Callithrix jacchus: one gene and its partner. Each later gene encodes a partner of the first gene's protein in a complex. Links are inferred from orthologs where the notes say so. Each region holds a gene or a part of one and is shown on either strand. Other genes may lie near its edges.

Evidence for each region.
Region 2: the proteins of NCOA5 (region 1) and ESR2 are in contact, whole or in part, in a crystal structure (PDB 4ZI1), measured with the Homo sapiens proteins. The link is inferred for Callithrix jacchus from reciprocal best matches to the Homo sapiens genes NCOA5 and ESR2. Residues at the interface, in NP_066018.1 of Homo sapiens: Ser344, Leu345, Ile346, Leu348, Leu349, Ala350, Asp351; in NP_001428.1 of Homo sapiens: Ile310, Lys314, Phe319, Leu324, Gln327, Val328, Leu331, Glu332, Leu490, Glu493, Met494.

What each region holds. Positions count from the first base shown.
Region 1 is NC_133506.1:41,295,074-41,304,249, reverse strand, and holds the end of NCOA5 (nuclear receptor coactivator 5), read left to right. Parts: intron 1-819; coding exon 820-1,019; intron 1,020-2,413; coding exon 2,414-2,734; coding exon of another isoform or gene 2,735-2,757; intron 2,758-3,207; coding exon 3,208-3,797; 3' UTR 3,798-5,120; downstream 5,121-9,176. Other genes in the region: SLC12A5 (solute carrier family 12 member 5), read right to left, coding at 8,585-8,676, 8,887-9,020. UniProt on the Homo sapiens protein: Nuclear receptor coregulator that can have both coactivator and corepressor functions.
Region 2 is NC_133509.1:98,918,706-98,928,542, reverse strand, and holds part of ESR2 (estrogen receptor beta), read left to right. Parts: intron 1-3,619; coding exon 3,620-3,919; intron 3,920-7,576; coding exon 7,577-7,715; intron 7,716-9,837.

The DNA of each region.
Region 1 (9,176 bases):
TCTTGTTCAGCAATAGATGCTGCTTTTAACTGTAGGAGCTTTTTCTGGACACATAATAGCTGTCATTTTCTGAGTACCTACTTTGTGTACTACCCCATGCTAGGCCCCTTACGTAAATTATTTTTAATTTTCACAGTAATCACATAAAATTTATTCATTCAGCAAATCTTTTGTATGTGTGGCAGATGCTGGGTACTGGGGCTACATAGTCTCATTCCACTGGTGGAGCTTACACCCTAATGGGGCAGGTGACAAAAGCATACAGCTGTGAGTCCTATGAGAAAAGAGTATCAGAGGTCTAGTTTAGATTGGAGGGAAGGTGAAAGAAATGACATATGAACTGAGCCATATTATTCCTGTTTTATTAGTAAAGAAATTGATGTTTGTAAGAGGTAAATGGACTTGACTAAAAGTTCAGAACTTTGCAAGTAGATGCTAAGAGCTGGGATCCAAAACCATGTTTCTGTCATTTAAGCCCATTATGTTCCCACTGTATTATGCAGCCTACCCAAAAAGAGATAAGTGTCACAAGTCTTAGGGAGCTGGATGTTGTTAAGGAAGGACCACTGGGCTAGAAAATCAATAGAAGGACCTGGATATCCTACTGTGCTACTGGCAACTTCTGATATGACCTCAAGCAGGTCAAGCCATTCTGAGCCAGGGTATAGAGAGAGAATTGATCTAGATCCTTAGATCCTAAAGATGGTTTTGGGATGGACTACAGTTTGAGTTCTTAGTAGGAATACACACAGCTGGCTTGAGACACAACAATGCAGGTTTGGAGTTGGTCACTTACCTGGATCTTGTTTGTTTTTATAGAGACTATGCTGAGTCTGTGGGGCGGAAGGTGCGAGACCTGGGCATGGTAGTGGACTTGATCTTCCTCAACACAGAGGTGTCATTGTCACAAGCCTTGGAGGATGTTAGCAGGGGAGGTTCTCCTTTTGCTATTGTCATCACCCAGCAACACCAGATTCACCGCTCCTGCACAGTCAACATCATGTTTGGAACCCCGCAAGGTACAGGGGCCTAAGTGGGTCAAAATACCAGAGGTAGTGACTAGTCCATTATTAGTCCTTTATGCCTTACTCAGAAGAACCAGGTTTTGGGCAAATGACTCTTATATCCCAGTTCATACATGGTAGGGCCCCTCTCTAAGTACCGTGGAAGAGTGCTGCATAGTTGTTATCTGATAGTCTCTCAGTGGATACAGTTCTGGGCCTACTATCTGTTACATTATACTTAGCTTTAGGTATATACAGTGGTGTACTGACAAATATTTAACAACAAGTTGTGGGACGGGGGGAGGACATTTATAGCATTTGCTGATCTCCGTGGAATACATACTCCCACCATGTTTCAGTTCAAACCACCAACATGAAGTCACTGAAGGGAGAGTTGGAAAGAAATGTGCACAGTTGGCTCTTGCCACTGAGATCTGGCTCCAGCACACCTCTGGCATGTACACCAATGAACGTGACAAAATCCTTACTTTCGCCCAGCTTTCTAATGGAGGACAGATAATATAACAGGCATTTAGGATCCTTTTTATAAGTGTGCTGGAGAAGTAACCAGAAGGGCTATGAGAAGTTACCAGAGGGACTAAGAGGCCTTGACCCTGTAGAGGCCCAGGACCAGTTCTCGAAGTCCTTCTTAGAAGTAGCTTTTCAAGCACTGAACCCAGAGGATTGAGACTCGGCCAGCTGATACCCTGCTCCTCTTGCAGCACAGACTTACTGTTTTCCCACTACACTCAGCATCTCTGTTGGCCTCATTCCTTATCCTCATAACCATACAATTACGTAAGGATCTCCAGTGGATCATTTGTCCGTCTGAGGAATAGTCCCCAAGATGTGTGAGGACAAAAGTTCTGAGGAGTCCTCTCACTACCCGGTAAACCGTATTTCCCATGGGTGAGGAGAGGAGGTTATTTAGGGTCACAATTTGATCTTAAATCCATGACTTTTGAACTGATGAATTAAAAAACAGTAGGCCAGCTTTGTCCTGAGGAGCACAGTGGAGAGCCCAGCTTTCCAGAGGGCCTTGTTGGCCTCCTGCTGCTGGTCTAGAGGCTGCTGGGCCTGCCTCCCGGGGCTGTTCCCCACATGGCCTGTTTGAATCTGCAGGAGGCTGTCATGTTTCTTTGGTTTTTACTACTGCAAGTCTGTGATCTAGGAATTCCCCCAAAGAACCAGCTGTATACAAAGGTGCATGCTCCCACCAAAGGTATCCATTCACTTCCCTTCCTGCCCTTCATCTGTCCACCCACACCACCCTACTCTCAATCTCAAGCCTTTTTGTCACCAAAGTGATTTTCTTGCTGGTATAAGGTTAGGAAAGACTTGATAGAGGCAGCAGGCGGGCACTTAAATATGTCATGAAAGAAAATAACTCATGTCATTTCCTCCTACAGAGCATCGCAACATGCCCCAGGCAGATGCCATGGTGCTGGTGGCCAGAAATTATGAGCGTTACAAGAATGAGTGCCGGGAGAAGGAACGTGAGGAGATTGCCAGACAGGCAGCCAAGATGGCCGATGAAGCCATCCTGCAGGAAAGAGAGAGAGGAGGCCCTGAGGAGGGAGTGCGCGGGGGCCACCCTCCAGCCATCCAGAGCCTCATCAACCTGCTGGCAGACAACAGGTACCTCACTGCCGAAGAGACTGACAAGATCATCAACTACCTGCGAGAGCGGAAGGAGCGGCTGATGAGGAGCAGCACCGACTCTCTGCCTGGTGAGCTACGTGGCAGGGCCGAGGTGAAGTTCTGACTCTGCATTTCTCTAATCCCCAGGCTCTGTTGGGAGGGTGTCAGGCCCAGGGCTGTTTGGAGTGGGTAAGGGAAATAAGTCCATCCCTTGGGTTCTTCCATGGGCCATCCATTGCTGCTATAATGTTAATAATAACTTTTTATTATTTGGGTACTGAATGCTGATCCCCGTAGTTAATGTGGTGGATTGACTAGTATTGCTGAATCCCTGGTAGCCAGGATGGATGCCCTTTTGTTTTTTAGCAGTTCTCTAGGAGAACTAACCTATTGTTTTCTGTAAATAGCATATATCATGATGTAGCCCCTTGGGAAATTGATGTTATTGTCTGTGTACTATATGATTGATGTGACTCAGTGATTGTTGTTCTTCCTTTGGCTGCTAGGCCTCCTGCCCTTGGGGGGTACTTTGAACCAGATACCTCCCTCTTCTGTCTTCCAGGCCCGATTTCCCGCCAACCACTCGGGGCGACCTCGGGTGCCTCGCTGAAGACACAGCCAAGCTCCCAACCGCTCCAGAGCGGCCAAGTGCTCCCCTCTGCTACACCCACTCCATCTGCACCCCCCACCTCCCAGCAAGAGCTTCAGGCCAAAATCCTCAGCCTCTTCAATAGTGGTACAGTGGCGGCCAATAGCAGCTCTACATCCCCCTCGGTTGCTGCCGGAAACACCCCGAACCAGAATTTTTCCACAGCAGCAAACAGCCAGCCTCAGCAAAGATCACAGGCCTCTGGCAATCAGCCTCCAAGCATTTTGGGACAGGGAGGATCTGCTCAGAACATGGGCCCCAGACCTGGGGCTCCTTCCCAAGGGCTTTTTGGCCAACCTTCCAGTCGCCTGGCACCTGCTAGCAACATGGCTAGCCAGAGGCCTGTGTCTTCCACAGGCATCAACTTTGACAATCCAAGTGTACAGAAGGCTCTGGATACCCTGATCCAAAGTGGCCCTGCTCTCTCCCACCTGGTTAGCCAGACCACAGCACAGATGGGGCAGCCACAGGCCCCCATGGGATCTTACCAGAGGCATTACTGAGGCTAAATCTTTCAACTGTCCCCAGTCCCCTCATCCCCTGGCCTCCCACTTACTGCGTTCTAAATAGAGTTGTTTGGAGGATATTCTTGGCATTCTCCAGGTCTACATTGAGTGTCATCAGTTTCTTCTACCACCTGCTCTCTCTCCTGCCCAAGGCTGTGTTGCTTATTCCTTACCAAGTTTATGCTGCATTTGGGGCTGTATTCTGATTTGTTTTTTGGATTTTTGTAGAAAATAGGTATCTCCGGAGTCACTTGGGCAGTACAGGTGTCTGGGCTTATATCTGATGGGATTTCTCCAGTCCCTCTGTCTACTGGTTTCGGAGCCAGGCCCAGCTGGCGACATTTGGAATGGCATTTGTCATGTCAGTAGCCACCACCTTTGTTCATTGTGAACCTACCAAGACTTTCAAGCTTCAAACATGTCGACCAGAGCTCAAGCTCCTGCCTGCAACTCCTGCCTAGAGTTAAAGAAAAGTCGACTGGCCTTGGCAGGCACAGTGTCATCATACCCCAACCCCACGTTTGGGATCTGCTCGAAGATTCATAAATCAGCTACTCTGGATTGTTGAGGAATGGCCATGGCAGCTACAGAAGAATTTTTCTGTCTGAGCCAAGGTTGCTTTTTTGTTTTTTTCTCTTTTATTTTTTGTTTTCATTTCATTGGAAGATCTCCAATGGACTGAACAGCTCCAGTCAGCAGCAGTTTAATACAAACTGTGAATCTGGGCCCCACCACTCTTCCCCCTTACCAGTTCTGTCAGCATCCCCCTCCAGCGGCACTTGCATGGAGTCAATTCTGAGACTCTGGCCATGAACACTCATTTCTTCAATGATTTGTTTTGAGCTTTTGGCTCAAAACTCCAGGCTCTTATTTTTGTCTAGACTCTTGTTCCGTTTCCTGAGCAGTAGGAGGTAGGGACCACTTTGATGTCAGATTTCTGGTAGCTGGACATGTTCTTGAGATAGGTGGCTGTTCATGACTTTTGTACCAGAGTGAAATTGTTAGAGGGAGGGCTTCTGGCTGTGGTTCTAAGTGGAGCCGCAGAAAGCTGCCCTCTCCCCAGGGATTGTACTCAGCAGATCCCTGTGGATCATGGTCTCGAGATCCTCTAGCAGGGGAGAGGGAGAGCAGTGACCAGCTGAGTCCCTGACAGTGGCAGAGAAAACAATGGTTTCAAAATTCAAGGTCCCCAAATAGCAGCATTTTATGTTCTGACCTGTTTGTGTTATATAGTGTTTTTTTTTTTTTTTTCTCTTTGGAACTCTTGTGTTGTTAATAAAATGAAATGATTACTTTTTGATTAAAATGCAAAAAGTAAAAGCTGTGTTTATCTTTCTTGGGTGTGAATATCCTCTTTGCAGAACACTCCCCGAGTCAGAGGTGAGGGCTCCTGTGTCGAGGACTCTGGTCTGCCCCTTCTTGTCCTCAGCATGTGATCCGGCCTCAAACCTCTTAGAACCCTGCCTTCTCTGCATAGGTGGCTCACCTAGTTAGAGGCTTTAATAACAGTTCAGCGCAAAAGCCTACTGGCTAATTATAGTGCTGTGTTCAACATCCTGCTTCTGGCAGACATTCTTTGTGTCAGCAGCCTTGTCCTCTTATTCTAGAAAAGGAAAACAGGAATGTGAGGAGGCCATTTGTGGTTGGTGGCCTCTGGTAGAGAGGCACTTCCTGTTTTCATTTTGTCTCAGTTGCCACCCTCTGTTCAACCCATTGTACAGGGAGTTGGCAGAATCCATAGAACCCGAAGGAGCCTTGAAGAACATTGAATAACTTGGGGTGGGTGTGGTGAAGTGGGTGGCACAGGCCTCCCATGGGTTAGGCATCAACGTGCTGAGAGAACAGCCTGAACAGTGTTGAGTGCTCACTGCCTTAAGGGGGTATCACTGCAGCCTGACACCTATACTTAGAAAGTGCTCACTACCTCCTGGAAGATGTCAGTGCAGCCTGACACCTAGTAAGTGCCTACCAGTCTTAGGAGATGATGTTAGTGCTGCTCTCCAAGCCAGGGCCCCAAAGCTAGCGGTATGTAAATTAGATCAGCAGACCTGGGGCATTAGCCCATCTCTTCCGTCAGTGGAGGTCGGTGTTTCTGATTTAAGAGTGTGGGGTCTGGTCTGGTGTGGTGGCTCACGCCTGTAATCCCAGCACTTTGGGAGGCCGAGGCAGGTGGATCACCTGAGGTCAGGAATTCAAGACCAGCCTGGCCAACATGGTGAAACTCCATCTCAAAAAAAAAAAACGTGGGGTCCTATAGGGCCCCTGGAGTGTCTAAACAGCACATCTCAGGCCATGAAGGGTATAATAAAATTATTTTTATTGCATTTTGTGCAGATGGGAGTCTAAAAAAGTAATACAGTAAAAGCCATAAAGCATTAAATGGGAGCATTCAACAATAAAGGAAAGAACCAACCCTCTCCTTTTCATATTGGCACAAAGAACACAAGATCAATACTGAGGCAGGATGCGGAATACTGAACACTTATGCTGAAAAGTAAAGGCAGGCCTAATAATCATAGTAAGAATAGTAATAAATACTCTTGATTTGGTTTGCAACCTCTCCTATTTACAAGGGTTTTCAACTTCATTGCATTGCCCTGCACATAGATCATCTAAAACAAAAGCAACACTAGTTATCACTACAAGGCTATTGAAATATTGCACTCAGAATAAAAGTCACTTGAATGGACATGAAACATCTAACTACAGTGATTATAAAGATAACTTGATGAATGACATAACATTCATAACAAATATTGCACATGTAGCACAGAAAACTTGGGTTTTTGTTGTGGGATGTCTGTTTCATCAACGGAAACTTTGCTCTTGCCAACCAGACAATCTGGGCCCAGATAGTGCAACTTTGGTTCCCTAATTGATGTTGATACAGCCCCCTTCTGCACAGCCCACCACGTTAGCCCCGAAATATTCAGGCCCCCAGAAGGCAGGACCTGGCTGTGGTTCTCAGAGGGAGGTCCATTGAAGGATGCAGGGGCCTGGCGTCTAACACCTCCAGCTTACTGATTGAGTACCTGAATCTATCCAGTCCCCTGATCTAATCTCAGGGGGACCTTGGCATAACCGGCAGACCTCCAAACCTACCCCCAGCCACACCTGACCCTGTCTAGGTGGTGCCAGCTCCAGCTCTACCTCAGGCTCAAAGGAAAAAAGGTGGTGAGGTCAGGAGTACTCAGTGGCCCCAGCTCTGGGAGGTGAGTGAGATGTCTAACTAGGTACGCAGGTCAGGGCCCTGGGGCTGGAGGTACTGTACCCAGTCCCAGATGGTGCTGGAACGAGCATGCAGTGCCTGTCCCCCTTAGTAACGTGCCCTAGGGGAAGGGAACCCGGCCACCGCGCCTTCTCTGAGGACAGTATGCCTCAGACCAGGCTGGTGGAGCGGAAGCGCCAAGGACGAATTGGGGAAGCCAAAGGCCCTGGGTCCTACAGGAGAGCACACAGGCGCTAAGAACAAAGCGCGTGTGACTCCAGCCCTCCCGCAGGCCCAGGTACCCCGGGAGACGGAGCTAGAGGCCGCTGCTAAGCAGCAAGGCCCGGCCCCAGAGCACAGAGAAGGAGTCTGCCAGTTGGGGACGGAGGAGGGAAAGTCAAGGGCGGCGCCGGGGCCTCCCAGCAGGTCGGCCCCCTAAACCAGAATGGGCCCCCTCCTCCCGACCTGTCCCAGGGAGGAAACTCCAGGGAGGGGGCGCCCTCCAGCTCCATAATTTCAGTCTTTGGCGAGGAGCCATGAGATACGGGGAGCAGGCGACAAGCCGACTGAGGAGAGACGCCTGCTTCCCAGCAAAGGCACCGGGGCGGGGCTTCCTCGGCGGGGCGCGGGCCTCTCGGTTTCTTCCCGTTGAGGAGCGCCCCTCCCCAATCCTGGCCCCAACTTGCATAAGAGCCGATGAGAAGAGGTTGCGCGTCTCTGCAGCCGCAGTGGAAGCTCACATTCGCTGGGAGGCGAATCCAGGAAAAGTTGGACCCTTGTCTCACCTCATCTTGGAAAAGGACTGGCAGGGAGAGTGGGAAGCCAAGGGCGCGGGAAAGGGCGAAGAGGCGAGAGCCGGACAGGGGTGTGGAGGGACCAGGACCACGACCCCCGCCTGGGCCTAAATCACTTTTGCTCTCAAACTCTTGGACGTCAAGGAAAACTCAGCTTCCCGAGGCCTCCGCCTCCCCGCAGTGCCCCCAGCGGGAGAGCTCGACTGTGGCGAGAAGTCTGTTGCGCTTCTAGTCACATAAATATGGGGACGTTAAAAATACACGCGATGTCTCCTGTACACTATGTATAGGCTCGGCCGCCCGCGCCCCGCGGCTCGGCGAGAAGGGGCGGCGGAGACGGCAAGCGCCGCCTTCCCACCCCGCGCGCCTCCGGGAGCCGGAGGAGCGCAGAGCGAGGACCGCGGCGGGCAGGCGTGGGAAGGGGAAGAATGGGCCGCATGGACTACCTGGGGGTCCCCAAGGCCCCAGCTCCTCTCCTTTCCACGCCTCCTCCCAACCTTTATTGCAGCGTCTCCTCCGAGAAGACAAGGCCGGGCTTAGAAAAAGGGCAGCGCGGACCCACAGGCCAACCGGGCACTGAGGAGCTCTGGTCTCCGCGAGGCGGGGTGCCCTCTCCGAGTCAGCCCCCACAGGCGTGGCCTCCAGGCTTCAGGCAGTGGGGTAAGGGACCAGGGCACGGGCACAGGGTCTGTATGTAAACGGTGACAGCGGCGGGGGGGCGCGGCGAGGGCTCCGGAGCCGCGGCGAGGGCGCACTTGGGCCCGGGTGGCAGGTCCTGGCTCTCAGGAGTAGATGGTGATGACCTCGCGGCCGCCGCCGCGGACCAGCATCACCCGGTCCAAGTGCTCTGTGAGGACCTCGAGGAATTCCATGTCTGTGAGCCGGTCAAGGAGAAAGACCCGATCTCCTTCCCTCCCGATGAAATTCGGGTAGCGCTAGGCTGCCAGGGGACCTCTCGCGCCCGTGTCCCCGTCCGAGGTGCTGATCCGGAGGCAGAAACAGTTCAGCAATTCCATCCCAGGGACAGGACCCAGCTTCCCTGACGTCCACCTCCCTCTTTCCCCCAATTTTAATTCCAGGATACAGTTTTCATCACCATTACGGTTGCGGGGAGGCCCAGGCATGTTGAGCAAAACAAGCTTGGCGTCCCGGGATTTCTTCACGATGACCTCGTTCAGCCGCACGGCCGTGTGCATGCGCCGCACATTGGACTGGTTCCTGCGGAAGGAGGGAAAGGTGGAGAGTACGTGAGCCTGAAGAGGGAAGATTGAAGCCAGTCGCCCTTCCAGCCCTAACTGGGCTGCTGGGGCGTGGTTCTTGCAAGCCCAGGACCACCAATCCTAAACCTCTCCAAGCTAGGCTACTCAGAGATCC
Region 2 (9,837 bases), on another chromosome or scaffold:
TAAGGGTAAATTCACATAAAAGTTGTAACCATGCTAATGACATCCTGACTTACAACATGTCTTTCTTAATTTCCATTTCACATTTTTGTCTTTAACCAATGAAAACTTATAAAGATTTTGGTGCTCAAATGTAGAGAGATTTAGAAGTTATATTTTTGTTGTTGATTTCTATTTTTCTTATGGTCAGAGAATATGGTCTGAATGATACCTATTTTACTTAAGATTTTCTTCATTGCCTAGTATGTGATAAGTTTTGCAAAATTTCTATGGTCTTTATAGATGAAGCTTGTTAATTATGTAGTTCAAATATTCTGCATTCTGACTTTTTGCTCTTTCAGCTGTTGAGAGGTTTAAATATCCCATTATAATAGTGCATCTGTCAGTTTCTCTTTTTCTTGCAATCATTTTTTGTGTTGTACTTGGAGGCTGTGTTTTGTTGTTTATGATTTTTTTTTTTTCTGCAGAATCTTGCTCTGTCACCCAGGCTGGAGTGCAGTGGTGCGATCTCAGCTCATTGCAACCTCTGCCTCCCAGGTTTGTGTGATTCTCCTGCCTCTGGAGGCCTCCTGAGATTGGGATTACAGGAATGTGCCACCATACCTGGGTAATTTTTGTATTTGTAGTAGAAATGAGGTTTCACCATGTTGGCCAGGCTGGTCTTGAACTCCTGACCTCAAGTGATCCACCAGCCTCAGCCTCCTAAATTGCTGGGATTGCAGGTGTGAGCCAACTGTGCCTGGCCTATGTTGTTTTGAAGTATATGAGTTTAGAATTATTTATCTTTTATTAATATTCTAGAAATGAGTCTCCTAATCTATAATAATAAATTTTGCCTTAAAGTTTGTCTGATATCAATAGAGTAACATCAATTTATTTGATTAATTTTTGCCTGTTATATATTTTTCTGTCTACTTTGTTTTTCTGTATGTGAGGTATATCTCTTATGACTAATCTATGTCTAGATTTAAAAATATATAGGATTTCAGAGTCACTCTTAAATGGTCAATTTAGTATTTTTTCTTTATTGTGATAACTAATATTTGGGTTCATTTCTATCTTATTTTGTGATTTTAAAATTTTTATGTATTTTCTACTTCTTTCCTTTTAGGATTTAATCACATTTTTGTTTTATTTTTCTTCTTTTACTAGTTTGAAAGTCATACATTCTGTTTTATTTCCCTTTTTTTTTTTTGAGACAGAGTCTCGCTATATCACCCAGGCTGGAGTCCAATGGCACGATCTCAGCACACTGCAGCCTCTGCCTTTTGGGTTCAAGTGATTCTCCTTCCTCAGCCTCCTAAAGAGCTGGGATTGCAGGGGTATGCCACCATGCCCAGCTAATTTTTGTATTATTAGTAGAGACAGGGTTTCACCATGTTGCTCAGGCTGGTCTTGAACTTCTGGCCTCAAGTGATCCCTCCCCCCCTTGGCCTCCTAAAGTGCTGGGATTACAAGTGTGAGCCACCATGCTTAGCCACATTTAAATTCCTTTAGTGACATTTCTATTTTTCAACATGTGTTCTTGATTAATATGAGAATTTAAGCTTTTATCTTCCCAAAAAAAGAATTTTAGAAATTCTAACCAAAGTCATTCATCTCTCATCTTACATGTTATTGTTAGGTATTTTGGTTCCACCTTGTTTCTGTATCACAAAAACTTTAAATATTGGATTGCATGTGGTGGCTTCTACCTGTAATCCCAGCACTTTGGGAGACCAAGGCAAGAGGATCATTTGAGCCTAGGAGTTCAAGACCAGTGTGGACAACATAGCAAGACCCTGTCTCTACACAAAATACAAAAATTAGTCAGGTGTGGCGGTGCACACTGTAGTCCCAGCTACCCAGGAGGATCACCTGAACCTGGTAGGTTGAGGTTGCAGCGGGCTGTGATCATGACCATTCCACCATACTCCAGCTTGGGGGACAGAGAGACCCTGTCTCTAAATAAATAAATAAATACAAAGAATAAGCATATAAATCAAATTTGCTAGTAATTAAAACATACAAAGTAAAGCAAGATGGTTTAGTCATTTGTTAGATTAGCACACATTAAAAATGATTTTTAATGCCAAATGGGTCTGAGAAAATAGTCAAACTATTGAGCACTGGGCAACATAGACCGTATCTCTACAAAAATATTTTAAAATTAGCTGGGCATGGTGGCATGTTCCTGGAGTGCCAGCTACTCAGGAGGCTGAGGTAGCAGGGTTGCTTGAACCCAGGAGATGGAGGCTGCAGTGAGCTATGATTGCACCACTATATCCACCTTGGGCAACAGAGTGAGACTCTTTCTCAAAAATACAATGAAAATAAAATTGTGTATATACTACAATCTAGTTTTGTATGTAAAGGCCAGGCGCAGTGACTCATGCCTGTAATCCCAGCACTTTGGAAGACTGAGATGGGCAGATCACCTGAGGTCAGGAATTTGAGACCAGCCTGGCCAATGTGGTGAAAACCTGTCTCTATTTAAGTAAATACAAGAATTAGCTGGGCGTGGTGGCATGTGCCTGTAGTCCCAGCTACTTGGGCAGCCCAGGCAGGAGAATTGCTTGTATCTGGGAAGCAGAGGTTGCAGTGAGCCAAGGTTGTGCCACTGCACTCTAGCCTGGCGCCTGGCGACAGAGTGAGACTCCATCTCAAAAAAAAAAAAAAAAAAAAAAAAAATTAGCCAAGTGTGGTGGTAGGTACCTATAATTCCCAGCTACTCAGGAGGCTGAGGCTGGAAAATTGCTTGAACCTGGAGACTGAGGTTGCATGAGCCAAGATTGCAGCACTGAACTGCAGGCTGGTTGACACAGTGAGACTCCGGCTCATAAATAAATAAATAAATAAATAAATAATTTTGTGTATAAAACATGGAAAAACATAAAAGCATTAAAAAGACTGAAAGACAGCACTTTGGGAGGCCGAGGCGGGTGGATCACGAGGTCAACAGATCGAGACCATCCTGGTCAACATGGTGAAACCCCGTCTCTACTAAAAATTACAAAAAATTAGCTGGGCACAGTGGCGCGTGCCTGTAATCCCAGCTACTCAGGAGGCTGAGGCGGGAGAATTGCCTGAACCCAGGGGGCGGAGGTTGCAGTGAGCCAAGATCGCGCCATTGCACTCCAGCCTGGGTAACAAGAGCGAAACTCCGTCTCAAAAAAAAAAAAAAAAAAAGACTCAAAGAGTTTATGCCAAAATTTATTCTCTTTTATATTCTCCAGATTTTTTTCACTTAGTTTTTTGAAATATACTTGTTTTGTGTAAGTATGGAAAAGAAATATAAATATATGCACACATGCATATAAACATTTTAAGAATGTGTTATAATAAAAGTGTATTATTTGATACCTTCAGAAATATCCCCATTTTTCTACCTGAAGAAAATTCCTAATTTCATGGTTTGGAAACAGGTATGTGAGCGCTCTTTATAGAGAAATGGAGTTAGCATCTAGAGATGACCTGGAAATGGAGACCTGAAAAGTTGCTGAAAAGTTATGTTGTTGGTTTGCTAGTAGAGTCAAGACCATAGTAATCTTTGATATGTGCCCTACACGCTGAAGAGTCAGGCTTCTTTTAGTTGACTGTGGTTTTACCCTGGCAATTCGAATGACTCTGCTTTCCTCTTCAGGCTCCCGGAGAGAGAGATGTGGGTACCGCCTTGTGCGGAGACAGGGAAATGCCGAGGAGCAGCTGCATTGCGCCGGCAAGGCCAAGAGAAGTGGTGGTCACGTGCCCCGAGTGCGGGAGCTGCTGCTGAGCGCCCTGAGCCCCGAGCAGCTGGTGCTCACCCTCCTGGAGGCCGAACCGCCCCATGTGCTGATCAGCCGCCCCAGCGTGCCCTTCACTGAGGCCTCCATGATGATGTCCCTGACCAAGCTGGCCGACGAGGAGTTGGTACACATGATCAGCTGGGCCAAGAAGATTCCCGGTAGGGCCTTCTGGCTATTAGTTTTCCATGTGCTTGTAGAAAGGCCTGCTGCTAATATTTAAGGGGCAAGAGTACAAAGTAGAGGTCCACGAGCTGTGCCTAGATATTTAACAGTTCCACAGCTGGATTTGTAACTTCTGAGTGCAATATGTTCTTTGCTCCCATCTTGGCATACCTACCTTCAACAAGGCCATGTTCCGATTTAGAATTCTAAGACTCCTCTAAGTTCAGTACCAGACATGGTAGTGCAGAAAGAGCTGTCACCCAGCCGTTTCTATTCTTGACTCCCTTCTTTTCCCATGGACAGATGCATCCCATACTACCTTCCTTGCACAAACCCCATCCTATGTGTCCATGTCTGCTACAGACACCTGTTGGCCACCTTTCATGCCTAGAGGTGGTCTGGGAGGATGGACCCAGGGAACCCACCCAGGCTCTGAAATTGGGCTTGGGGTCATTTGGGCAAGAAATCCTAGGGTCCTGGAACCTGGAACAGGGTTAAAATGATGGGCTCAGCTAGGCGTGGTGGCTCACGCCTGTAATCCCAGCACTTTGAGAGGCCGAGGAGGACGGAATACAGGGTCAGCTGTCAAGACCAGTCTTACCAACATGGCAAAACCTTGTCTCTACTAAAAATACAAAAATTAGCCAGGCATGGTGGCAGATGCCTGTAATCCCAGCTACTTGAGAGGCTGAGGCAGGAGAGTCGATTGAACCCAGGAGGCGGAGGTTGTAGTGCCGAGATCACAACAGAGCAAGACTCTGTCTAAAATAATAATAACTAATTAATTAATTAAAAAGCTGGGCTCCACATTGACCTGTCCTTTGGCTGTGGACTCCTCACCTTGAGAGGAGGGGCATGTTTAGATAGGATGGGGCAGGGTGCAGTATGACTGGTTTGGAAGTGAAAGGTTTGTCAGATGTTAAATAGAATTTTATAAATTATTATTCCAATAGAGAATCAATATTATGTACATAAATAAGTATGTATGGACAAATAGAGTAAATCAGTTACATGAATCCTCAATGGGCCCATAAACTTGGAATGCCATTGAGTTAAAAGTGAGCTTAGTGACTCGTGAGTTATCATTTGGAACCTGCATTTTCCATCCTCTAAAATGATCACTTCTCCCAAGCCCATTTGTAATATATACCTGAAGGGCTGTATGATGCTAAAATTACCAGCCAATTATCATTTGACTTGGTGTTTCTGTGGAGGAGTGAATCTAGGATTCTAACCTAGAATGGCAACACCCCACAATCCCCCTGTGAAAGCTTCCCCATGCCCTTCTTTACAGTCCTTGAAGAAAAGAAGTCTCTTACAAGTTCTGAGCCACTGGGGACATTCCCATGGCCTGGAGAGCAGCAAGTGTACTGGGCAAATGTAAAGATGAGGAGGGGTGAGAAGCTGGGGGGAGAGCAGTTCCAGGTAAAGAGCCCGGGGAACTGAGGCCTACAGTGACAGTATCACTTGGGGACTTTTGTTGGCCTGGGCCCATTTCTTCTGAGCTTCCTGAGGATTTTTTGGTTTCTAGTTGTATTTTGTTTTGTCTAGCATCTTCACCTTTGCCAGAATTACTTTATTTTCTCTGCTTTTTCCCAGAGGAGACAGTGCTGATGCACTTTGCTCTAGTTTTTGCTTTAAATGTATTCCAAACACAGTTTTGCAGGACCACACATGGAGAGCAGTGGTGAAATTAGTTATTACTGAAAGCTGTGCCCCTTCTTTGTGCCATAAGAAATCTGAACTTTTCAGCTGCATTATTCCTTATTAAACCTGGTGTTTTTAAAAATTTTTGGGAAACATAGGCATAGTCTGAAGGCGTGATTTTTCCCCCCTCTCCTAGCTGGCATAGTCATTGTCCAAACAAACAAAAAAGTTATCATCTAGCCCTAATTTTGTTGAATATCTACAAGATTAAGAACCGTGATCTCTCTTGGGTAGGCTATTGTCTATCACTGTGGGTGAGATTGGGAAGGTGTATACACATTAGGAACCTAAGTTGAGCATAGCATGTGGATTTAGAAAGTATTTATCCATCTTTACATTCATAACACCATGAAATTCTCCTTTATGCAAATTGGCACTATAATTGTTCCAAGACTTGAACCACATGTGTTCTCTCTGCCATAGCATCCTCATCTGTAAAATAAGGATGGTAAGAGATCCTGCCTATAGGACATTCCCAGAGATAGGCATTATTATCCCCATTTTCCTATAAGAAAAACAAAGACTTAGTGGGAAATTAAGTGACCAGCTAGCAAGAGGCTGAGCTGGGATTCAAACCAGAGTCCATTTCATGCCAATGCTCTGTCTTTTGTTACCATATTTCTATTACATGGTCCTCTCCTTTTATCATGGCTTGTGGAGGAAGCCCCGGTGTTCTATGCTTTTTTTTAAAGTGCTCCCCTCCCCAGAGGTTACCTGTTTTCAATCAGTATTGTGACCAACATGTGTTATTAGGTTGTCAGGACCTGCTTCGTTATATTTGCTTTTTATTATTATGTTTTTGAGACAGAATCTTGCATCTCGCCCAGGCTGTAGTGCAGTGGCGCCATCTCGGCTCACTGCAATCTCTGCCTCCTGGGTTCAAGCAATTCTTCTGCCTCAGCCTCCCAAGTAGCTGGGATTACAGGCATGCACCACCATGCCTAGCTAATTTTTTTTGTATTGTCAGTAGAGACGAGGTTTCACTATGTTGGCCAGGATGGTCTTGATCTCCTAACCTCATGATCCTCCCGCCTTGGCCTCCCAAAGTGCTGGGATTACAGGCAGGAGCCACTGTACCTGGCCATATTTGCTCTTTATTTATTTATTTATTTTTTTGAGACAAGGTCTCACCCTGTTGCCCAGGCTGGAGTGTGGTGGTGTGATCTTGCTCACTGCAGTCTTGACCTCCCGGGCTCAAGCCATCCTCCCACTTTAGCCTTCAGAGTTTCTGGGACTTCAGTCACCTACCACCGTGACCAGGTAATTTTTTGTAGAGATGGGGTTTCCCCATGTTGGCCAGGCTGGTTTCCAAATCCTGGGTACAGGCAATCTACCTACCTTGGCCCCCCAAAGTCCTGGGATTACAGTTGTGCCTCACTGTGCCTGGGCTATGTTTGCTGTTTAGGATAGAATCACCCAGAAACAGTGCTTCTACCTAGAAGAAGGATCCTAACACTGGATGGGAGATTTTAAGCAATCAGAGAAATCCTTGCTGTTGAGTCCTTGGCTTTCTGTGCGGGCTGGCACTGCTGTCTGCATGCCTCCACCTGCAGCCTCCACCTACCGCATTCCCCAGCGCCTTCTGATCCCAGTCAAGGACTGGGTCAGACAGGCAGCTCCTCTGACTGGCAGCCAAACATTAACCTTCTCAGTAGCGCAGAGGAATGATCAGGACGCAGCTAACGACAGTTGGTTCTGAGCCCAGGTCATAGTGCTTGACAAACTCCAAATGATGTCTCTAGAAGGGGTCCAAGACTGGAAACCGGTTGCGCAGCTTAACTTAAAAGTTTTCTTCCTTTAATGAGCAGTTAATCACATCTATAAAATATTGATTCCCTAATGGTTTCTGTTTTCTTAGTGTTTTAACACTTGCCATTCTATCTCTACAGAAACAGGGAGCTGAGGAGGAGGGGTGGGGGTGTCTCACTACCTTTTACTTTCCCCAGGCTTTGTGGAGCTCAGCCTGTTGGACCAAGTGCGGCTCTTGGAGAGCTGCTGGTTGGAGGTGTTAATGGTGGGGCTGATGTGGCGCTCAATTGACCACCCCGGCAAGCTCATCTTTGCTCCAAATCTCATTCTGGACAGGTGAGAAAAAAACATATTGTGTTTCTTCTCCAACTTGTTTGAGTAAGGTGCTGAGTGAGTGGGAACAAAGTCCTAGGTGCTGCAATTAAAATCTCACACCTGCAGGGCAATTAGAGGATGATGGCATCATTAGATCCTTCAGTGGGTCAAGAACCAGAGAAGGAGAGAGAGAGGATCAAGGATTCAGGGTCCTGTGACTCATTTTTAATCTGAGGTGCATTACAGGCCAGCGCCTTAATAGGGGACTGTATCCTGTAGGGATGTGGCCACTATGTATATAAGTCGACATAGACTTTTCTGCATTAAAAATTCCATTTTCAGGTTACAATCTTAAGTTGTCCTTCTGTGTTTTGTACCTATAGTGACCAATTACATCTGTAGCTTTCTGGACAGGTGATAATAGTCTTAAAAATCTGCCAAGTTTATTTTCATATGCTTTAACTCATTCTTTTTTTTTTTTTTTTTTTTTTTTGGAGACAGAGTCTTACTCTGTTCTTCAGGCTGGAGTGCAGTGGTTCAATCTGGCTCACTGCAACCTCCACCTCCTGGATTCAAGTGATTCTCCTGCTTCAGCCTCCCAACTAGCTGGGATCACAGCCTGCCACCACGCCAGGCTAATTTTTGTATTTTTAGTAGAGATGGTTGTACCATGTTGGGCAGGCTGGTCTTGAACTCCTGACCTCAGGCAATCTGCCCACCTTGGCCTCCCAAAGTTCTGGGATTACAGGTGTGAGCCACTGTGCCCTGCCTGCTTTAACTCATTCTAATGCATGTACTACATAGCATTTTTCACAATAGTGGTGAGAGGAAGAGTTACTAAAACCACATGAAACTTAACAGAAATTGGGATGTGTTGCTATAACTTGGTTGCGTTTGATTTTCTTTTAAAGATGACATGGAAAAGGAACCAATTTTTAATTGACTTAGGTGAACTGTTTATGGAGGGAAACCTGAACTATATAAAAACACTCAAGTTTTTTTAGCGGGAAAAGTAGACTACCTTCTTGGTATAAATTTGAGCAGTTTGAAAATCTTCATGGAAATTGATTTCCACACCTCTTTTATGGAAAAACTGCTAGTGTTGAGTGTTCAGCCACATCTGACTCTGCAGAGTGGGAGGATGGCTAGTGCCTACCCCAACTCTTTCATTATTATCCTGTTACACTTTAGATCATCAGAAGACCCTGTGTTACACAGATGAAGAGTGATACCCCAAGGTATCAGTCTCATCTGCCTTTTGTCATGGTTGACAATGTTATTAAAAGAGAACTGTTCTGCATAATGAAGGTGTTTTGATAGAGAACAGATCCTTAGGGAAAAGCTGGAGGACTGATGTGACTTGAACAGGAGCAAGCCTAGGTGGTGAACCACACAGGGAGGCTATGGAAGCCCAGAGCAGTGCAGGGCATAAGACCCTTCAGTAACAAACAAAATGGCTAACCTATTGGCCTGTTTGTGCTTGGCAGCACCTTACATTGTGCTTATGTTGTGACTTATGTTGACACATTTAATCTTCACAATCTTCCTACACTCTTTGGGGGAATAAGCACCATTATTATCTCTGTCATTCAGGTATTAGAAATGGGAGATTAAGAAACCTGCTTACAGGACCAGGCACGGTGGCTCACGCCTGTAATCCAGCACTTTGGGAGGCCAAGGTGGGTGGATCACCTGAGGTCAGGAGTTCAAGACCAGCCTGGCCATCATGGTGAAACCCCATCTTTTTTTTTTTGAGACGGAGTTTCGCTGTTGTTACCCAGACTGGAGTGCAATGGCACGATCTCGGCTCACCGCAACCTCCGCCTTCTGGGTTCAAGCAATGCTCCTGCCTCACCCTCCCGAGTAGCTGGGATTACAGGCATGTGCCACCATGCCCAGCTAATTTTTGCATTTTTAGTAGAGACAGGGTTTCACCTCGTTGACCAGGATGGTCTCGATCTCTTGTCCTTGTGATCCACCCACCTCGGCCTCCCAAAGTGCTGGGATTATAGGCGTGAGCCACGGCGCCCGGCCTGAAACCCCATCTTTTAGAAGTAAATTAAAAAATTAAAAAAAAAAAAGAAAGAAACCTGCTTATGAGTGGAATAGTAGCTGGTGGAGCTGGACTTGGGGGGTTGCCATG